Callithrix jacchus: one gene and its partners. The protein of the gene in region 4 purifies or fractionates together with the protein of the main gene of each other region. This does not show direct contact. Links are inferred from orthologs where the notes say so. Each region holds a gene or a part of one and is shown on either strand. Other genes may lie near its edges. The genes, in order: TRIB3, ETV1, MVP and COP1.

What was found.
Region 1: the proteins of COP1 (region 4) and TRIB3 purify together in Homo sapiens (affinity purification with mass spectrometry; 5 studies listed by BioGRID and IntAct, counting the BioPlex papers as one, with this or other methods). This does not show direct contact. The link is inferred for Callithrix jacchus from reciprocal best matches to the Homo sapiens genes COP1 and TRIB3.
Region 2: the proteins of COP1 (region 4) and ETV1 purify together in Homo sapiens (affinity purification with mass spectrometry; 4 studies listed by BioGRID and IntAct, counting the BioPlex papers as one, with this or other methods). This does not show direct contact. The link is inferred for Callithrix jacchus from reciprocal best matches to the Homo sapiens genes COP1 and ETV1.
Region 3: the proteins of COP1 (region 4) and MVP purify together in Homo sapiens (affinity purification with mass spectrometry; 3 studies listed by BioGRID and IntAct, with this or other methods). This does not show direct contact. The link is inferred for Callithrix jacchus from reciprocal best matches to the Homo sapiens genes COP1 and MVP.

The regions. Positions count from the first base shown.
Region 1 is NC_133506.1:8,144,455-8,149,728, reverse strand, and holds the end of TRIB3 (tribbles homolog 3), read right to left. Parts: intron 2,206-5,274; coding exon 1,713-2,205; 3' UTR 853-1,712; downstream 1-852. UniProt on the Homo sapiens protein: Inactive protein kinase which acts as a regulator of the integrated stress response (ISR), a process for adaptation to various stress. Inhibits the transcriptional activity of DDIT3/CHOP and is involved in DDIT3/CHOP-dependent cell death during ER stress.
Region 2 is NC_133512.1:44,532,064-44,537,337, reverse strand, and holds part of ETV1 (ETS translocation variant 1), read right to left. Parts: intron 1,905-5,274; coding exon 1,657-1,904; intron 1-1,656. UniProt on the Homo sapiens protein: Transcriptional activator that binds to DNA sequences containing the consensus pentanucleotide 5'-CGGA[AT]-3'. Required for olfactory dopaminergic neuron differentiation; may directly activate expression of tyrosine hydroxylase (TH).
Region 3 is NC_133513.1:29,687,754-29,693,668, forward strand, and holds the start of MVP (major vault protein), read right to left. Parts: upstream 3,293-5,915; 5' UTR 3,234-3,292; intron 2,187-3,233; exon of another isoform or gene 2,013-2,186; intron 1,251-2,012; exon of another isoform or gene 1,070-1,250; intron 1-1,069. Other genes in the region: PAGR1 (PAXIP1-associated glutamate-rich protein 1), read right to left, coding at 3,915-4,114. UniProt on the Homo sapiens protein: Required for normal vault structure. Vaults are multi-subunit structures that may act as scaffolds for proteins involved in signal transduction. Vaults may also play a role in nucleo-cytoplasmic transport.
Region 4 is NC_133519.1:27,120,280-27,125,553, reverse strand, and holds part of COP1 (E3 ubiquitin-protein ligase COP1), read right to left. Parts: intron 4,116-5,274; coding exon 3,972-4,115; intron 1,190-3,971; coding exon 1,081-1,189; intron 612-1,080; coding exon 530-611; intron 1-529. UniProt on the Homo sapiens protein: E3 ubiquitin-protein ligase that mediates ubiquitination and subsequent proteasomal degradation of target proteins.

The DNA of each region.
Region 1 (5,274 bases), on a different chromosome or scaffold from region 4:
AGCTGGAGGAGTGCCACGGTTAGTGTAAGCACGTGCTCCATGAATGTAAGCTGGTGATTGGTTAGAAACGGGTACCTGATGCAGTTCTGACCAATAAGATGTGTGGGAAGGTCGGTCAGAAGCGCTTCTGGGAAAGTTTCCTTCATCCCAATGAAGAGATGCGGGAGCAACTTTTATTGCTGGCTTATTATGCCAGGCGCTGCTTGTTCTAAATGCTTTACACAAAGTACTCATTCAGGTTCTCATAAGTTAGGTACTATTATTGTCCCGCATGGTACAGATGAAGAATCTGAGGCACAGAGTGATTAAGAAACTTGCCAAGAGTCAAACAGCTATTGAGTGCTGGAGCCAGGATTTAATTCTGGGCAGCCTGACTCCAGAGTTCCGAGTTCTCAGGTAGTACAATGCCCCTGCCTTCTTCCTCTGGTCACGGACCTCTCTAATGTGACACCTGCTGTAGCCATTGGGCCAGCAGTCTCGAGGGACAATACAGTCAAGAGACAGAAGGAGCCTGGAGAGCAGGGGTCTTGCTCACAGCCTGGAGTTGAATGGACCAGCACTGAAGCCCACCCTATCCACTGACTTCTTGCTTTGTGTGAAACGTATTTCTGTCTTGTTGAAGCCATTTTGACTCAGAAAGTACCCTAATAGAGACACCGCTGCTGCCAGAAGAGACAGAGGGAGTGCAGGAAAACCCGCTGGGCTCCAGGTAATCTGTTCTTACAAACCACTCAGCTGAGACTGAGACACAACTCCATGGCTTTTCACCATGGGGGCCAGTTTTGAAGGCAAGGAAAATGGATAAAAGATGGTTGCAAAGGATGGAAGAAATCGCCTAGGTAAATAGAAGTATTTCATAATTCTTTATTAGGCACAGGTGAAAATACATACTCATGGCATCCAAAACCTAGAGTATCGACCTGGGATCGTGGACCCCAACTGTTCCCAGAACAGTCCCACCTGGGACTTTCCAGGTGGCCACAGGACAGACCCTGCCTAATCCTGTCCCTCAATCTTGGTGCTTAGGTCAGAAGTGCCATGGTTGACGGGCCTGGACCCTCATTCCAGAACATTCTTGAGTTAGACAAGTACTAGCCTCATAGTTTGGATTCTTATCTCTGGCCCAAATCCCGGGCTTGGGCCTGGAAAGAGAATCTCTTGATCAAGAGGACAGAGATGCTGGGAACACAGGTCCCAGAGTGAGCTGGGCTTGGGTCCTGAGTTTCAGGGGAGTGGCCTGGAGCCTTTGGCACAGGGATACCTCCCTTTCTCTGAAAAGGTACAAGATAAAAAGGCAGCTGGTTTGTTTGTGAAACGGATTGTCCTTGGACAGAGGTGCCTGAACACCAGTACCAGTGGAGGCTGACACTGGCACAAAGTGTACCCAGTGTAGACAGTGACCGATGGCCATAGAAAAGTGTTGTCAGCTCAGGAATGCCAGTTTGTCATCTCTATGAGCAGGGAGTATTGTTCCTTTGCTCACTGCTGTGTTCCCAGCACCTAGAACAGGGCTTGGCGCTTGATAAGCACCCAAGCAGGAATTGCATGTGTGTGGAACAAAGCAGGTGTGTACACAGCACACTCCATGCAGGCTTCTGCCTTTCTCCCTTCTAAAGGCACTGAAGGTTTGGCTCAGCTCAGAGGCAGGAGAAAGCTTGGAGCCACCCCAAACTCAATCCACTGTTGGCAGCTGAGCGTGTAGTGGGGTGGCCCTAGCCATACAGAACCAGTTCGCTGTCTTCCTCTTCTTCCTTGGCTTCATCCAGCCTCGGTCCATCAGGGACCACCTGATCAGCCTCCCAGAGATGGGATCGGGTTGGGGCTGAGGGCATCGGGTCCTCCCGCAGCCAGGGGTGCAGGAGGATGCTTGTGGCTGTAAGCCGCTCAGCTGGCTCCCGACGAAGGAGGCAGCGAACCAGACAGCGGGCAGGGGCTGAGAGGCCTGCAGGCAAGGCATAGGCCCCGCGGCGGATCTTGCCAAAGAGCAGGACAGGCTCTGAGTCCTGGAAAGGGTAGTGGCCGGCCAGCATGGTGAAGAGTGCCACGCCCAGGCTCCAGACATCCGCTGCCTTGCCTGAGTATGATGCCTGTGAGCTGAGTATTTCAGGTCCCACATAGGCTGGGCATGCGTTCTTATCCCACAGGGAATCATCTGGCCCGGTCAGCACACAGGTGTCCTCCAGGTTCTCCAGCACCAGCTTCTTCCTGGGACATGGGGAGAAACATAAGGGTCAAGTCCCACCCAGAGCCCCCATGCCACTACCCCATACTGTCACCTTAGTGGCACCCACTTTCAAGTGCCTGCTGGTCTTTGACAGACACAAGTCAGTCTTTTGATGTCTGATCCTGTTTTCCAGAAAACTAAGCCCAGGCTCAGAGAGGTTAAGTCAGTTAAGGCCACAGAGCAATTAAATTTAAACTAACATTCTGAACGGAATAAATTTCTCAACAGTCCCTTGGGAAGGGGACTGATGGGGCTTAGAGAGTTAAGCCTCTCTTAAACCAGATGCAAACTTAGGGTCCAAACTTAGGGAAGAGTGCCAGACATTTCAGCGCAAGCCCTGCCTAAAAAGGGCACCACCAACGACACATTCTAGGGTTTATCAAGTGTCCGCTGTGTTCTTCGCCCTTGGCCCAGCTTATTACCTGGCTTATCTCATTCTATCCAGGCTACAACGTGCAAGGACACCGTTTTACAGCTCTAGAGCATCAGCCTGGGATGGGAACCCTGGCTCGCAGATACCCAGAGCCAGTGCTGTGACCCACTCTCGTAGTTTTCAAGGTGGCCCCATGTTCCCATTCTTTTCCCCAAGAGAGTCAGGAATCCTATTTTAATGAAAAAGTCCCCATTTAAAAAATATTGGCAATGAGTTTCAATAAAAAACACGAACAGGAGCAGGGCAAAAAGAAAAGTGTGTGTAAGGCTGGGCGCGGTAACTCACACCTATGATCCTAGCACTTTGGGAGGCCGAGGCAGGTGGATCACTTGAGTTCAGGAGTTCACGACCAGCCTGGGCAACATGGTGAAACCATCTCTACAAAAAATACAAAACTTAGCCAGGTGTGGTGACTCACGCCTGTGGTCCCAGCTACTTGGGAGGCTGAGGCAGGAGGATATCATTTGAGCCCAGGAGGCAGAGGTTGCAGTGAGCTGTGATAGCTCCACTGCACTCTAGCCTGGGGGACAGAGTGAGAACCCATCTCAAAAAAAAAAAAAAAGTGTATCCTGCCATTTGCAATTTCTAGTTTAAACAGAGCACTCTAAGATGACTTTCATAGCAATCATTCTGTTACCACTGCTATTCATTTCTTCTTTATGGCACCACTTCCTGGGTGTCCATTGGCATTTCACAAATACCGACCAATCCTATGAATCACAGTATTGAGGGACGAGGAGTGTCAGCATTATTGGCCCATTTTACAGATGAAGATACAAAGGCTCAGGCAAGTGAAGTCATTTCTCGGGGCCAAAAAGCCGGTCAGAAGCAGAACCCAGGATTTAAACACAGGTCTATCTAACTCACGGTCTCTCTTCTACCAGTGCCTCTCATGTGACTTTTCTTCTTTAGAGACAGGGTCTCACTCTGTCACCTGGGCTGGAGTGCAGTGATGCAATCCTAGCTCACTGCAACCTCAAACGTCTGCGCTCAGCCTCCCAAGTAGCTGGGATCACAGGTGTGCACCACCACACCTGCCTAATTTTTCTAAATTTTTGTGCAGATGGGGTTTCACTATGTTGCCTAGGCTGGCCTCGAACTGTGGTGTTTAAGCAATCCTCCTGCTTAGGCCTCCCAAAGCACTGGGATTACAGGTATGAGCCATCAGATGATTTCTTAAAAAGAGCAGGAAGCACATTCTCTCTTCCAGAAGGTCTGGGGTAGTTGTATCTACTCTGAGCTTAAAATATGTTTGAAGTTATGCACTAGCTTAAAAGTCATTATAAATTCTACTTCTTTAAAAAAGGCATGCTTCTTTTACTATAAAATGTAAAAGGAAATATTAATAGAAAATCAGCCTTTGGGGCTGGGCGCGGAGGCCCACACCTATAATCTCAGCACTTTGGGCCAATACAGGCAGAGCACTTGATGTCCGGAGTTCAAGACCAGCCTGGCCAACATGGCAAAACCCCATCTCTATTAAAAATACAAAAATTAGCCAAGTGTGGTGGTGTGTCCCTGTTATCCCAGCTACTCAAGAGGCTGTCGGGAGAATCGCAAGAACCCAGGAGGCAGAGGTTGCAGGGCGTCAGGATCATGCCACTGCACTGCAACCTGGGCAACAGGGCGAGACTGTCTTAAAAGAAAAGAAAATTAGTCTTAGGCAAGCACCACAGTAATAACTGCTACAGGCAAGATGGATGGCTGCTAAAATTAGTAGGGGAAAGTTGAGGAAAAACAGGATATTTATATGCTTAGCTTACCTACCCCAAGGTATTTATCCATTACAAAGGCTAAATTAAAAACCTTAGAGGAGAGAAACCTGGCAGGTCCTACCCTAACCAAGTGATCAAGGTTACAACACAGTAATGACTATCAACTCAATGATATGATGTGGAGAGGGACCTATCAATTCTGTGTTGTTCTTGCCAAAAATATATAACCACGGCTGGGCGCGGTGGCTCACGCCTGTAATCTCAGCACTTTAGGAGGCAGAAGTGGGTGGATCACCTGAGGTCAGGAGTTCAAGACCAGCCTGACCAACATGGTGAAACCCCATCTCTAAAGAGATTATATATATATATATATAAAACTGCAATCTAACTTTAAGAAAACGTCAATCAAATCCAAATTGAGGGACATACAAAGTAACTGATCAGTACTCTTCAAAAGTCTCAAGGTTATGGTGGGAGCAGTGGCTCACACCTATAATACCAGCACTTTGGGAGGCTGAGGGGGGGCAGATTGCTTGAGCTCAGGAGTTCGAGGCCAGCCTGGGCAGTATAGCAAGACCCCATCTCAATTAGCCAGGCATGGTGGCACACACCTGTAAACCAGCTACTCAGGAGGGTGAGGTGGGAGGATCACTTGAGCCCAGGAGTTCAAGGCTGCAGTAAGCTATGATCACACCACTGCACTCCAGCCTTGGTGACAGAGTGAGATCCTATCTCAAAAAAAAAAAAAAAAAATCATGGGTTATCAAAGACGGGGAAAGACTGAGGAACTGTCTCAGATTAGACGAGGCCAAGGAAACCACTGATAACTAAATCGGGATCCTCACTGGATCCTGCACAGCAAGGGGTGTTCGTGGGAAACTCGGGAAGCCGGAACAAATTTG
Region 2 (5,274 bases), on a different chromosome or scaffold from region 4:
AGTGTACAAAAGGTTCTACACTGAAACCACAATGAGAATTTCAAGATGGTCCCCAAATTGTAGTCCCTGGGGCAAAAATTTAAATAAAGACCCTTATACAATCTCTTAAAATTTCTTAAATCATAAATCAACCAAGCAAACTGATAAATAAGGTGTCTGCTCCTCATCTTTGCAACTATCCCAAAACAAACTCATAGCTATGTTAAATTTAGTAGTTGAGGAAATCTCCAAATTTAGCCTGGTAGAGTATGATGGTATGGAGAGAGCCAGTGCCCAGTCTTCAGATCCTAGCCCACCCTACTTTTTGTTTCTCTTCCTATCCTTGATCTCAATATCGTGCCATACTGTGAGAGGCTCCTAGGGCTATCTATAGGAGCAATGTGCTCTGCCTTCAGAAAACAGGGCCTGGGATGAATTCGCTCAGGTCCTGGAAGGCCAGTGGGCAAAGAATTCATAGATCTTGGGGAGCTGGCACACTTTTTAGAAGTTGAAGCATGCCTCAAGGTGGCCAATTTCCTTAGTCCTTTGAACCTACTGGCCAGTGCAGAAGGGTACACAAAGGATGACCAGAGGGAGACTTCTAAGTCATAGGCTCTCTTTTGCAGAGCCTTAAGGGAAGTTCATTATGAAGCAGGTAATCTTATATGCAAATTGATAACTCCAGATGTGGAGATAGTTTTTACTCCAGTAGACTGATAGAACTCACAGAGGAAGCAACAGTTCCTTCACAAAGAATGCCCAAACTTTATATCCAGACAAAAGGAAATGATATTGTTCTCAAATATTTCCATATCCACAACCAACTATTGACCACTGATACAATAACGCTAATAATATTCTACTGCCTCAGGAGGCTTAGGCAGGAGAATCACTGCCTGCCTCAGTGATTATAAGGTACATGGTAACCTTATAAACATTAGCTTTTATTTCATAGATTTTTTCAAAATACCTGAGATGTGTTAAAAACAGATGTCCTGATTTGGCAGACTATAGAAGGAAAAACTCAACAGAGTTAAGTAATTCTTCTAAAATCTCAAGGTTCAAATACTGGCAAAGTTGGCGATATTATTTGGAAAAGATTTCAAACCCTCTCTCCTTTCAGGAAACCCCTCTCTCCCCCTCGATATGCTGCTCTGTACTACTTTCTAGCTCACAGAGACAAAGCTAAGCTCTATGAATAATCTGTGTTGTTCCCATCAATATATAAGAATTCTTACTTACAAACAGAGTCTTTGCCACCAATAATTTTTTTAATGTTATAAGCAATATATGACCCATGTCAGAAGAATATTACTTTTGGTAAACATTGCTATTAAGTAGCACTGCAGTAGCAAAATAGAAAAATTTAAAAAAAGCACTGAATTAAGAAAAAAAACTGCAGTATCCCTCTCGAGCTGAGAGTGTGCATAATTCTGTAAAGTGTACTTTTCTTTAAACTGCTTTTGTTTTCAGACACTATCTCAACCTCACGTCATGTCAAAATGACTTGAAATCCAATTCTTTACACGTAGATGACGTTTCAGTGAAGGGACAAAATCTGAAAGATCTCATTAAAAAAATGGTCAAGAGCTACCCAGTCTGCTATCAACACTAACCAATGTGACAAGGGAGGTGAAAAGGTGCCTTGAATGTAATTTGAGCAGAGCACAGGCCTACCTGAGTCATATGCAAAATCTCTGGGTTCCTGTTTAATCATCAGAGGAGGGGGAAAGCTTTGGCTGGCCGCACTGCCAACCATGGTGCTGTGTTCATACACTGGGTCGTGGTACTCCTGCTTAAAGCCTTGTGGTGGGAAAGGGATGTTTGGCTCAGACATCTGGCGTTGGTACATAGGACGTCCTTCCCTGGGCATTGTCGGCAAAGGAGGAAAGGAATTACAGGGTTCAGAAAGCTGGCGGCGAAATCTAGGGAGTAAAAGAGTGTGTTTCAGATGAAATGGTAACATGGAACATTCTTTAAAATACTAATACGGTTTTTCATGTCTTAGTGAATGAACATGATACCAGCCGACCTGAAGTGGAAATCTTTAACAAACATTACATTTTTCTTTCCTAGATTAGAGGCTCTATGCTTTTTAATCATATGACTTGTATTCCCCTTCTAATCAGTCTCTTGCGGCACTGTTGCACTATATGAATTAAAGATGGACTTTGAGTACAGATTGGAGAGCAATGAGCAACTCTGAGGATCACACACACACATCCCTTAATGGCTAAAATGTCCAGATCTAAATCAATTGGATCACTTATGATTTCCACACAAAAAGGGCCTTAAGTGATTATCTACAAGGAAAAAAAAGGCGGGGGGAAACAGTCTGATCTCAAACTGCATCTTCTATCTTTTAAATCTGTTACCAAACTAATCAATAAGCAAAAAAAAAAAAAAACAAAAATCAATTTATTGGTTTTCCTTCCATTGCCATCCATTGCTGAGGAAGCAAGAGAAGAATGACTCTTTTCTCAAATCAGCAGGACTTTTAATTCCTCAACAATGTCCTAATTAACATTGTAAGAAACAAACTGAGTATTATAAGGACTCAAAACCAAGCTGGTTTTAAAAAAATTACCTCTTTACTGTCAAACAGCAATGCAGACCATATTGGCTTCCTATAGATTCAAATACAGTATCAGGTTGATAAAAACAAGCAAAAATATACAACTGATCTCCAAAGGTGAAAATAACAGATAGTGTTGTATAGATTTGGGGCAAGTCCCACTGTTAGGACATGAGGAAGTTCTGAGGCCTTGGCAGACAGCTAGGATTACGTCCTATACCTTCTTTGTTCTTGGTTCTACTTTGTAATGATTGGCTAATCACATAATCATTCTGTTCTGTGTCTCTCATCCATAATATCATTGACCCACCACAAAGATGTGGATTAATTAAAGATTTAAAAGTGCTCTAAAAATGCCCCAAGAGTGCTTAAAAATAACCTATAAAACATTTCTATGAGCAAATATAAGCCTATTAACCACCCCCCCAACTAAAAGCATTCCTGAGACTTTAATTTGGAAAGTTAGCATTTAATTTCGGTAATGTTAAATGAAAATAAGGTAAAAGCTAAAGAATGGCACAGCGATTGCTTTAGCATTTCTAAGAACACTCCATCCTGTGATTTAACTCTAGGCTCACTGGTGGTGAGGGAAAGCACTGAAATTCCACCTACACCTGCAGAAAATAAACTTAGAAACTCGGATATTGCAAAGCAGTTAGGCTGAATGGCACTGCATTCATTTCCCTTCTCTTGCTTATTTCATTAGCCAAAAAAAGAAACAGAAATTATCATTAAGGACTGTCAAGGAGTGAATCAGAAAATTGTAACTTGAAGTTAAAATAAGAAACTGGCTCACTTGTAAAGCCTTAAAAGGAAGTTAATAATACTTGTAACTGAAAGCTTTGTAAGGAATCAAGCCGTTCGTTTTTACCAGTCGACCTGATCCCAGTTGGAAGTTGCTGGGGAACATATATGTATCAAACACCCATGCTTCCCGAAAACTTGCAAGGTTTTGGTGCAATTCTTAGGAGTCACTGACCAATGGTGAAGAGAATGTGATTCAAGAAGCTTCTGCAAAGGAGTTAACAGATAAGGAGAACATGCTGATGAACTCGTCGATAAAGAAAAAATGGGGCTTAAGTGGTGGAAACTCTGAGAAAGAGAGACAGGACTCCTGCACAGTGGGTTAAGGAAAAGGTGCCAAAGGGCTGGCCCGAGGAGCAGAGCGAGGCTGAGGAAAGGAAGCAGGGTGCAGGCCAGTTGGCTGTCAAGCGTTCCCAGAGTGAAGTGGGGTGCCTGGCTGGAGGGGGTGTTCTGGGGAAAGGATCTGTTCCCAGAGCAAATTTGCCATTTATAACTGAGGGACTGTCATTTATTGGCCAGAGCCCTCTAAGAAATCCTCCTCAGAAACATACGGCTTTAGAGATTTTCCTGGGACTGGCCAGCTGGTACTGTCCTCAAAACTCAGTCAGGGGTCAGTGGGAAAAGACCCTGAGCTTCCCTCTTGGAGTTCCGGGCCGGCTGTTCTCAGTCTCAAATATTTGACTTCAAGTAGAGAAACTAAAATGGATTTGGCTAAAAAGCATTTCAAGTTAGGTCACCTAAAACCAGGCACATTGCTTATTCAGCAGTCACCTTCACCAAGAAATAACTAGTTTGCACCAAAAGCGAATTATACAATCTATAATTCTGGCACTGATCAGAAGAGGGAGCTTCAATTATCAAGAACTCCAAGAAGTCGCCAGTAGTGGAGAAAATAAAACTTTGTTTGTTCATACTTTCCTTCCCTTTTAGCTCTGCACAATGTGCATCTGTTTAATGGCCCACCCTGCAATAAGAATTCTTTCATCTGTATTTACAAAACTGTTTACACAGATGCACATACCATTGCCCTCTGACAAAGACTCAAGGCTATGGGGTGAGAAGAAAAAGATAATAGGAAGCATTTAATAACCACCCCACAAGAGGATTTAGTGATGAAAACAAGGGTGGAAAAGATAAGGCTTTGTGTCACATTGTAAAGAATGCTTTCATCTTATGCCCTTTATTGCAAAATGAGTTCCTGAATTAGAGATTGAGTCCCATGAAAAAAACTATAAAAAGCAGATTTGAGTGCTCCCTTATATTTAGAAGGTTGCCAGTGGCACATCTTCTGCTTTCCTCTGCTGATCTAGAAGATTTCTTTGGCTGAGTTATTTTTACAGTGGTGTCTCAGAGACAGTTTGCATTGACCTATTGTTAAATTACAGGAAATTTTTGAGCCATTTCTTAAACAGTGTCACTATTAAGAGTCAAATTACATAACTGCACCATCAAAATATATGTTAAAAACAAAAGATAAAAATGCAAAACTCATCACTTCCTAATTATTTTACATTTCTTTACCAATTATGCACCTGAGGTTACTTATGTCTCCCGTATCCTTATGATAGAAATACTATACTATGCTGTGCTATTGCTCTTTCCAACTAGGCATTCAGGTTTGTCACAGTGATGGCTCATAGTAGGTCATGAAAGCGATATGTACATCACATACCCAGCAAAAGCTACAGATGGGGTGTTTTGTTTTTCTCCCATGCAGCCCATTAAACATTTACCAGCACACCACTGCACAGAGAAGCCCAAGCAGAAGAGATAAAGAAGGAGAGATGCTGGCTGGGCGCAGTGGCGCAACCCTGTAATCCCAGCACTTTGGGTGGCTGAGGCGGGCGGATAACTAGGTCAAGAGATCAAGACCATCCTGGCCAACATGGTGAAAGCCTGTCTCTACTAAAAATACA
Region 3 (5,915 bases), on a different chromosome or scaffold from region 4:
CTGTAATCCCAGCACTTCGGGAGGCCAAGGTGGGAAGACCGCTTGACACTAGGAGTTCAAGACCAGCCTGGGCAACACAGGAAGACCCCGTCGCTACCAAAATCATAAAAAAATACTATCTAGGTAGCCGGACTCGGTGGCTCACGCCTGTAATCCTAGCACTTTGGGAGGCCGAGGCGGGTGGATCACTAGGTCAAGAGATCGAGACCATCCTGGTCAACATGGTGAAACCCCGTCTCTACCAAAAATACAAAAAATTAGCTGGGCATAGTGGTGCGTGCCTGTAATCCCAGCTACTCAGGAGGCTGAGGCAGAATTGCCTGAACCCAGGAGGCAGAGGTTGCGGTTAGCCGAGATCGCACCATTGCACTCCAGCCTGGGTAACGAGCAAAACTCCACCTCAAAAAAAAAAAAAAAAAAAACTAGCTAGGTATGGTGGCACACACCTGTGGTCCCTGCTGCTTTGGAGGCTGAGGTGGGAGGAGGAAGGTCAAGGCTGCAGTGAACCGTAAATGGTACCCACAAGTGCACTCTAACCTGGACAACAGAGTGCATGCACTCTCAATGCACTTTTTTTTTTGAGACCATCTCAAAAAAAAAAAAAAAAGAAAAGAAAAAAAAAATGACTGCTTCCTGAAATCAGAGGTATTAGAGGATAGAGGGTCTCTGATGCACAGTAGGACCTGGAAGGAGGATAAAGATCTGTTCCAGGCTGGGCACGGTGGCTGTAATCCCAACACATTTGGAGGCCAAGGTGGGCAGACTGCCTGAGGTCAGGAGTTCGAGACCAGCCTGGCCAACGTGGTAAAACCTTGTCCCTACTAAAAATACAAAACATTGGCTAGGTGTGGTAGTGGGCACCTATAGACCCAGCTACTCAGGAGGCTGAGGCAAGAGAATTGCTTGAACCCAGGAGGCAGAGGTCGCAGTGAGCTGAGATTGCCCCACTGCACTCCAGCCTGGGCGACAGACTGAGATTCTTGTCTCAAAAACAAAAACACACAGCTCAGATTGCAGGCTGCTCAAGGGCAGGGAACTGTACTTATTTTCTTCCAGCCCATTCACTTACCCAGGTCTAAGCAGCCTCCTCTATCCCCAACCCCAGGGCTCTTGGTCCGCGCAGTCCAGAGGTTGGAGGTGAGGTCGGTGACCCAGCCTTGTCCCCAGACCTCCCACAGCTTCAGGTTTAGGAAAAGGCACGTAAAGTTTGGTATAAACAGGAACACAACTTCATGGAGTTTCTCCTCGCTGATTTAAGTTAAATATTCTAGTCTATTTAGAGAATGAGTCACATGACTCAGGAATTACCAACAGCCTATTTTCACCCAGCAGCTTCCTGGTTTACCCGCTTTAGGAGATCATTAATGGAAATTGCGAATCTGTCTCACATAAATTGCTTTTTTAAAAAGCCACAGTTTTAGGAACTTCTCTTCCCAAGGAAATCGGATCTGAGCTCCAGCCCAACTGGGCCACTTTGTGGGAGGGGGAACAGCCTGGTGACCTTCAGGAGGTAAGGGGGAGACAGAACAGCTAGGCCAGCCCAGACCTCCACTTGTTCTCCCTCCCCCCATTCCTGCCAATTAACACCAGTCACCAGAGGCAAGAACCAACTGGATATGATACGACCCACGAACCAAGCTTCAGAACCCCTCATCTACAGCAATATTTTCTAAAGTTGTCTAATCGTGGGACTGAGCTGGAATTATTATCATTTTTTTTTTTTTAAAGAACAACCCCCCCGCCGACACACACAAACAAGAGACGGAGGTCTCCTCATGTTGCTCAGGCTGGTCTGCAACTCCTGGCCTCAAGCCATCCTCCCACCTGGGCCTCCCAAAGTGCTGGGATTTCAGGCCTGAGTCACCATGCCCAGCCCTGGGCTGGAATTCTTAACCCCACTCCTGCTGCTTTTTGCAGGCCTCACTTTTGACCCACTGGGTCTAGGTTTCCTGGAGACAGCCTCTGGACCCTGTGTTCTAGGCAAACGCCCCCAAGTAATAGCTCCCACTTACCATGAGCTTAATCTGTCAGGCCTCAATTAACTCATGCTATCCTCACAAGAGCCTGAAAGTTAAGAAACTTGCCCAAGAGCACGCAGTTATCAAAGGATGAAGCTCAAAGTGTGCTCTGGGCATCATGACTGCAGAGACCACAAACCAGGAGGCAGTGGCTTTTCAGGCAGAAACAGGAAGATTCTAAACCAAGAACAAGGACTAGAGGAACTGGGTGGGGCTGGGTACTTTCCCAGATGGCGCCAATGGCAGTTCAAAGGTGTTTTCTGTAACCCGGGCCAGTGCCCAGCCTCTGTTCCCCTAGAACCTGGGAGGGCAACACCCAAGGTAACCTGAGCACCCTGTTACCATGGAGCTCTCAGGCTGTCTCTGGGCCACCCTCTCAAGGTGGCCTCCCTACCTGCTCAAGGCTATAGTGGGCTATCCTGTCCAAACAGCCACACCCCAGGGCCAACCCAGTGCTGTGTGTGCCAAGGGAGTTTCTGGGAGAGCCACCTCATACCCCACATGACAGCCAGCCTTTTCCCCCATCACCCAGGGGTCACCTAGGCAAGGAGCAGAGGACACAGGGGCCATCAGCCTCACTATCACCCCCACCCAAGGGACTGCTCTAAGATCCCCAGAATCTCAGCCTGGTGGGTACAGCTAAACATCCTCCCAAAAAGGGAAAGAACCTTGGTTACCAAATTCTATGCCTTCTAGAAATCACTCTAATGACTTCCGGAATGATCGGCTGAGGTCAACATCCGGCTGGGGCAGTAGGAAAGCCTCCTCTGTCAGAGTTAAGGGGCCTGAATGTGGACAGGTCACATTCTTGGGGCTCAAGGTGAAAGGCCAGAGCCCAGGTCCCCAGGACAGTGCAGGTAAGTAGAGCGAGCACCGATGTAGCTCTGAGATGGGGTCTGAATGAACACTGAGGTTGCCCACCTGATGTCCCATGTGGAACCCTGAAGTCAGAGGCCCGAGAGTTGCAGGGCAGTGGGGAACAGTGTTGGTGAGTTAATCTACCTTTACTTCAAAACCCAGAAAACTTCAATTATTGGAAAGTGAAATCTCCCAAAGCAAAGCCACCGCCCATCCTCCTTCCCAACTCTGATTCAGGTTTTCCCTGCCCTCCAGCAGAAGCAAGGCCCTTGAAAACAGGACAGGGTTAAAGACAGCCTCAAGGGATACAAAGATCTGCCGGATTTGAGGTTTGGGCGGCCAGTACCACGTACTCACATCTAGAAGTGCGGCTAGCTGCAACACACGCCTGAGATGGAAAACTCTCACCCAGCCCTGGGGATGAATCACTTCCCGGCAGGCCAAGCCAGGCCTGGCCCAGGGGTGGGGCTTGAGAGTTAAAGGGCCCCTGCAGCTGGTTCTCATTTTGTCCTCTGGGCTGTCTCTGCTGCAGCTGAAGGCACACTGCTCCCTGCCCGCTCATCAGTTTCTGCCTTGGAGCCAGCTGGCAGCACTGGGGTGTGGCTGGAGAATGCGAGACAGGGCAGGTGCTGACTGAGGGCGCCTCTGCCCATCTGGCTTTCATTTTCCAATCTGGGTGAATACAATTCTGCCTCTCCCTTCAAGAGGGACCAAACTGTTGAGGCTCCAGCTACAGCCACTCCTCTTAAGAGATGATAGCTCTGCATCTTTTATTTCAGACTCAGAAAATTCAGTCCCAGTCTCCAAATAGGTGTTCAATAGAAAACATGCACACGCACACACACACACACACACACACACACACTCTCTCTCTCTCTCTCTCTCTCTCTCCTCTCTCTTCCTCTTTCCTGCAACGTGCTGTTTGGGAGCTTGGGGTTTCTCTCTTCTTCCCAAGTTTCTCAGTGTCTGGGCTGGGGAAGGAGGGCCCAGGTCCCAGCAGGTACAGATGCTGCACCCTAGAGGCAGGAGCAGCAGGAGTCAGTATTTCCGTTGCCGAGGGAAGAGACTGCTCCCTGAGGATCGGAGTGGGGGGCTGGTGGGGCTGGGGTCCTCCGAGTCCAGGCTGAAGAGGTCCCTTCCAGTACGAAGGATCTGCTCCTCCAGCTTCTTGTGTCGCTTCATGTCCGAGAGCACCTTGTCCAGGCGGGCCTCCCGTTTCTGGCTCCGGGCTGAGCTTCCTGGAGAAGGGGAAGGTAAGATACATGGAAAGGATGGAGGCGGTGTGCACCAGACCTGCCTGAACCTCACTCATTACTTGGGGAGCTAGTTAAACATTCAGGTCCCCAGGCCTCTGTCTGGGAGGACCTGAGGTTCAGGGTTGGGCCTCAGAAAGAGTGAGTGGTGAAGGTCTTGAATGACAGGATGGCATGAGCAATGTGAAGAGCAGGGAGGACCATATGCGGGAGGGGGACGGCAAGGGTAAAGGCCCAGGACAAGAACAGAGTTCTGTTCAGAGAAGAGTGCAGAGAGCTGGCACTCTCGCTCTTCCCTGGCAAGATGGAATCCCTTGGAAAATTTTAAGTAGAAAAGCGACATGACTTATGGTCAGGTGCAGGGGCTCACGCCTGTAATTTCAGCACTTTGGGAGGCTGACGCAGGCAGATCACTTGAGGTCAGGAGTTTAGGACCAGCCTGGCCAACATGGCAAGAACCCATCTCTACTAAAAATCACAAAAATTAGCTAGGCATGGTGGCATGTGCCTGTAATCCCAGCTACTCAGCAGGCTGATGCAGGAGAATCATTTGAACCCAGGAGGCGCAAGTTGCAGTGGGCAGAGATCATGCCACTACACTCCAATCTGGGTGAGAGACTTCGACTCAAAAAAAAAAAAAAAAAGTGACACGATTTATATTTTAAAAGGATCATCTGAGTTGCAGAAACTGGAAGCAGAGAGCCCAGTTAGGAGCTACTGCAACTATCCAGGCAAAGATGGTGGCTTGGATGGGGGTATAGTGTTGAAAGTGGAGAGTAGCAGAGGTACTTGGAATGTACATCTTGGAGTTAGCAAGACTTGCTGTTGGTGTGAAAGTGCAGGTAAGAGAGAAAAATAAAAAATGTCTCTAGGCTGGGTGCGGTGACTCATGCCTGGAATCTCAGCATTTTGGGAGGCCAAGGCAGTGGATCACTTGAGCCCAAGAGTTTGAGACCAACCAGTCTGGGCAACATAGCAAGACCTTGTCTCTCCAAAAAAGACATGACTCTGAGGGTAAATTCTAGAAAGGCATGTGGGGTGGGAAATGGGGTCACTGGTGTGATTAAAGATGTACATGGTAGTAGAGGGATGCAAGCTACACAATACTGAAAGGCCAGGACCTGGACTTCTGGGAATGGGAAACATAATAGAATTATTTGTAATTTTCCAGAATCAATGACGTGTGTGTGTGTGTGTGTTTTAAGGAATTATCTGTAATTTTTTTTTTTCTTTAAAGAGTCTCACTCCATGGCCCAGGCTAGAGTGTGGCAGCGTGATCTCAGGTCACCGCAACCTCCATCTCCAAGGCTCAAGCAATTCTGCCTCTCCAGTAACTGGGATTACAGGCGCTGGCTACCACAACCAACTAATTTTTTGTATTATAACCGTCTCTTAAAGGAAGACAAGGGGCTGGGCACAGTGGCTCATGCCTGTAATCATAGCACTTTGGGAGGCGGAGGTGGGTGGATCACGAGGTCAGGAGTTAAGAGACCAGCCTGGCCAACATGGTGAAACCCGGTGTGGTGGCTCTCGTCTGTAATCCCAACTACTTGGAGGCTGAGGCAGGAGAAATGCTTGAACCCAGAAGGTGGAGGTTGCAGTGAGCTGAGATTGTGCCATTGCACTCTAGTCTGGGCGACAAGAGAAATATTCTGTCTTAAAACAAAAAAAGGAAGACGAGGTAGTAGTCTAATTCATAAAGATGGTACTACTAGTGAATGCTCTCTCCTATAGCTGAAGTTGTGTGGCAGCTGAGGCAGCAAGCAAAGGCCTCTAGGAGAGCCGA
Region 4 (5,274 bases):
TGAAGCAGGAGAATCGTCTGAACCTGGGAGGTGGAGGTTGTAGTGGGCTGAGATTGGAGCCACTGCATTCCAGCCTGGGTGACAGAGCAAAACTCCATCTGGGGAGGAGGCGGGGAAGTGGCTCACACCTGTAATCCCAGCACTTTGAGAGGCTGAGGTGGGCAGATCACTTGAGGTCAGGAGTTTGAGACCAGCCTGGCTAATGTGGTGAAACCCTGTCTGTAACAAAAATATAAAAAATTAGCTAGGCGTGGTGGTGTGCACCTGTAATCCTAACTACTCAGGAGGCAGAGAATTGCTTGAACCTGGAAGGCGGACGTTGCAGTGAGCCGTGATCATCACACTATACTCTAGCCTGGATGACACAGAGAGACTCCATCTCAAAAAATAAAACAGAACAATAATAATAATCAGTTATCATAAAGGACTGCGTGAGTTTCAGTAAATTTTCGTATTTCTGCCAACGAAAGTAATTAAGGTTAGGAGGGCCAGGGAGAAGGGGGTAGTGAGAAAGAGATTCAAATAGTACCTTTTGCATCATCAGAACCTGAAGCCAAGAGTTTAGGATCCATCAAATTAAAGTCAACACTCCAACACCTCTTCTCATGCTCCTGGAAGCAGAAGGAAGACACAGTAGCCTCAGACAGAATAGAGATATCAAAATGAATAAAGCAAGAAAAAAAAAAGAAAAACTGATACCAATTTATTGTTATGGGGAGAGGGAAAGAAAATAGGTTAGAAAACAAATGAAAAGCAAGATGTTGATGCAAAGTACTTTTAAAACTTTTTATATATATACATTTACTAAAATTATTGCTTTTAGAAATATAGTTGATGCATTCTATAAAGACTAAAGTCTTAGGAAATGCTTTGGAAAAGTATTTGGTACCAAAAAAGGGAGATGGAAAAAAAAAAATATTTGGTATTGCATAGCTGTTACACTAGCAAAAAAAAAAAAAAAAAAACCAACAACACTAAATAGTGACTTCATATCTGTAATTCTAAAGCACATGAAATTCTAAAAGTTTTAACAAAATAAATATATGATCCATATAACATGTAACTACTACTCTTATTTACCTGATAGACCTTTGACCTCTGTCCGGTGAATCCATCCCATAAAATAACAGTGCCTTCATAATCACTGCTAGCTAACAGGTTCTTATGGTAACTACTCCAACTGATACAGCTGAAAGAAATACAGTTAAAAATTACTTTACATAAAAATAAATAACAATGGGATAAAAAGAATTTCAATGTGTTCAGAAAGATTTGCACTATTTAAAAATAGTCCATATCAGTTGACAATCATTATTCTGCCCAAAACGAACCTGGGAAAAGATAGCAATAATTTTGAAATTTTAAAAATTGAAGTGAACAAGTAATGAACCCAACCACTTTTTACTGTGATCACTAGCTGTAAGATGGGTGAGCCTGGAGCCACCACTGGCCATCTTTGATACATGAGGAAAGCATGCCCATCAGTGAAGGTGATACCGCCCAGAGGGCTCAAGGCATTCGATGACAGAATGACAGACCCAATAAGACTGTTTAAGACCCTATATCCATCTGTCCATTGAAAAAGTAAATAAATTTTAAATTAAAAAAAAAAAGACTCTGTATCCCGTTTTGCCAAACCATATAAGCCAAATAAACTATAGTGAATTGGGTTTCTGTATTTACATCCAAACTGTCTTGACTTGACTAATTATAACTTATGACTAAAATTATTAGTCCAATTAAAAGCATCTAAAAGAACCAAACATTTATCATTTATGGTTTTGGCTATTCTCAAGTGCTCCAAGTCTACAACATATAAAAATGTATACTTCTGCTGAGATACATATCTGCATCATGAATACAGTAAAGGGAGGGAATATTATGAAAGAAGCTACTTATAAAGCAGTTAATGTAAATGACTTCTTAGACATGAATAAAGCAAGAAAAAAAAGGAAAACTGATACCAATTTATTGTTATGGGGAAAGGGAAAGAAAATAGGTTAGAAAACAAATGAAAAGCAAGATGTTGATACAAAGTACTTTCAAAACTTTTTATAGCTTTTTATAAGGTCTTTTGCTTTCTACTAGTTGCATTCATGCTAAATTTCAGAGACTGGAAGAGTCCATTTGCATTTTTAAATATATTTAAATTTCTGGTAGAAACTATATGGAACAGTTAAGAGCCACATTTTGAATTTAGGCAGACTTGAGTTCAAATTCCAGATCTGTTACTTACTAGCTGTGGCTCTGGCTAATTTAGTTCACTTTCACAGTAGATGTGCTCCAAATCTATTTTAGACATGCTTAGGTATTGAGTGCTTTCACCATTTATTCCAATGTACCAGGAAGTATTGCAGATTTTTACATATATAATTACAGAACAGGTAGGTTGCACATTTAAATGTTCTAATCCACATTTTCATTATGTAACATAAATACTTGCTATGGGCCAAGTATCATTCTGAGTGCATTATGGAGATTTTTTTAAAGGTACAATCCTATTAAATAGGTATTACTGTCGTGGCCGCCATTTTATAAATAAGCAGCATGAAATGTTTAAGAGCACAGACTCTAGAAACAAACTACTTCAGTCTGAATCCTGGATCCTCTGTATACCAGCTGTATAATCTTGCACAGGTTAGTAAATACCTTTCTGTGCTCAGCTTTCTTTGTATAAAATGGAGCAATAATGGCAAGTTTCTCATAGGTCTGCTATAGACAACGCACTTAGGATAATGCCTGATATCTAAGAATTCAATAAAGTTGTATCTAATTCTTGTTATATCCTCTTCACTTAGGACATAAACTGTAATAGATTCTCAACAACGAGTGCCACTAATGAATGGGCAAGCTCACCAATTATCAAGATAGTATTTTTATAAATGAACTAAAAAAAAAAAAACTATAACAAATTAATTATACAAAGATTGTAACAAACATACTATGTATGTCATTTAAATAGTTAAGAAAGGTTCAAGGATGGCTATTTTGAAAATGTTCAAAGTTACATACAAAGTTATTATTAGACGATTTCCTCATAAAGCCAATGCTCATGAGAACAGCTTGGGAAGCTTGTTTAGAAAACAAACAAAAAGCATATTCTAAGATTCTTCTGAGATTTTTTGGAGAGAAGATCAAGTAGAGTCTGTAAACATTAACAGTATTTTATGTCTGAAAAGCACTGCTTATGAAGTATAATCTCTAAAACATAAAACATAAACACCATTCCTTCAGTGCAAAGCAGAATGTTCTTATAAAAAATTCTTAAAACTAGAAACCATTCTGTTATGTTGAGAGATATGTCCATGCTAGGGGAAAAATTCCTGATGTTTTTATATTAAGGTACATTAATCCTTATTCAGTACTCCACGGCGTCTCCGACAATCACCTGCAACAAAGACCTTTATTTGATTAAGTGAAAGAAGAGCTTTCATTTGGCAACTAGGAAAAAAAAAAAAGGCTAACCCCACAAGAAAAAAGCAAGCAGTATCTGCAAGAAAGATGATCTTAATAATAATATATACTCTGAATATACAGTACAATTATAGTGTTCACCATGAATGAGTAAGAAGTATCATGGAGCTGAGGGCACGGTAGCTCACGCCTGTATCCCAGCACTTGGGGAGGCCGAGGCCAGTAGATCATGAGGAGAGGAGTTCAAGACCAGCCTGGCCAATATGGAGAAACCCTGTCTCTACTAAAAATACAAAAAAAATTAGCCAGGCAGCGGTGGGCGCCAGTAATCCCAGCTACTCTGGAGGTGGAGGCAGAGAATCACTTGAACCCGGGAGGCAGAGGTTGCAGTGAGCCGAGATCACGCCACTACACTCCAGCCTGGGCGACAGAGCGAGACTCCATCTCGGGAAAAAAAAGAAAAAAAAGTGTCATGGCAAGGTAAAATAATCTCATGATAATTACATATGCAAATTGTTACATATATACTGTATCATGTGAAGAAATAATGTAAATACCTGATTTTGGAATTGCAGGTCATTTCATTTTCAGGGTAATGAATATCCACTGCATCCTGGATGACGGTGCCATATTCATAAACTTTAATCTTCTTTGTAACCCCAGCAATCGCAAAATAGTCACAATCCCGGTCAAATTCAATACTAAGGGGAAAAAGTATACGCCTTGCTCAATAAGACTATTTACTTCTCCGTGTGACATTTATAAAGACAACATTTCAGAATTTGCTATTTTCTAGTTCTAAAGTAATTCTCTCTACAAGGATAAGAGATCTACTTTAAATGCCTTTAAGTTGTTCTAGGCCTCATATCCAGATTAAGTCATCAACACATATCAAATTAAAAGTCTTTGAGACTTGTGTATATCTACACAATTGTGCACAGGTGTACTTTTGTTCCTAGATATCTGACATGCTCTTCATTCAGCTCTAATAACCATATCACAGCTTAGTGAGAAAGATTTAATGGCATGAATTATTTGATATACCAGAAGTACGCCAAAAGATAATTATCAACTCATTTTTCATACATTCTAGTTATTTCCCTGACATTTTGTGGAGATGGTAGAATTTTGCAATATTCAATTTTTCAAAAAATATATTAGTATATAAGTTGAATTACTGAAGCAACTGGGTGATGACAAGTGGAGAGCATACATATAATCGAACCACTAAATTATCACTACTTTTTCCCAAATCCATACCTAATTCCCTCCCCAAATAGCTCTCTGAATTATAAAACCCCAATGCACACTCCTTATACCACAACAGGTTAAAAAATAGTAAAACATCTCCCTTCCTTTAGCATTACTTATAAAATTCACCCCCTCTTGCTGATCATTTTTATGTAAGCTCCAAAATAAGCTAAATGAAACCAAATACAAGATCACTGCTCTTATAGAACTGAACTTGGAGCCTAAACAAAGTTTTTGTTATAGAGCCAGCTGGAAATCTAATTAGCCCAATGGTAGTAAAAGTTGAAATGAATCATCACATACATTTTTCATTATTATTTAAGCCTCTTTTCTAGAGGTTTAGCCATAAGAATTCTCACTGATCTAAAATTAATTACATAATAATACCTAATATTCATTAATCATTCACTAACTACTAAAACATTTTGCATGTATTAACTCATTTAGTTCTTATAACAATCCTGTGATATATGTATTATTATTATCTACATTACACAGACGGGAAAATGACGATTAGAGGTGAGGTAAACTGCCCATAGTTAGTCAGTTTGTAAGTGACTGAGATGGTATTGAAACACAAGGTAGTCTGGTTTCAGTGCTGGTGCTAAT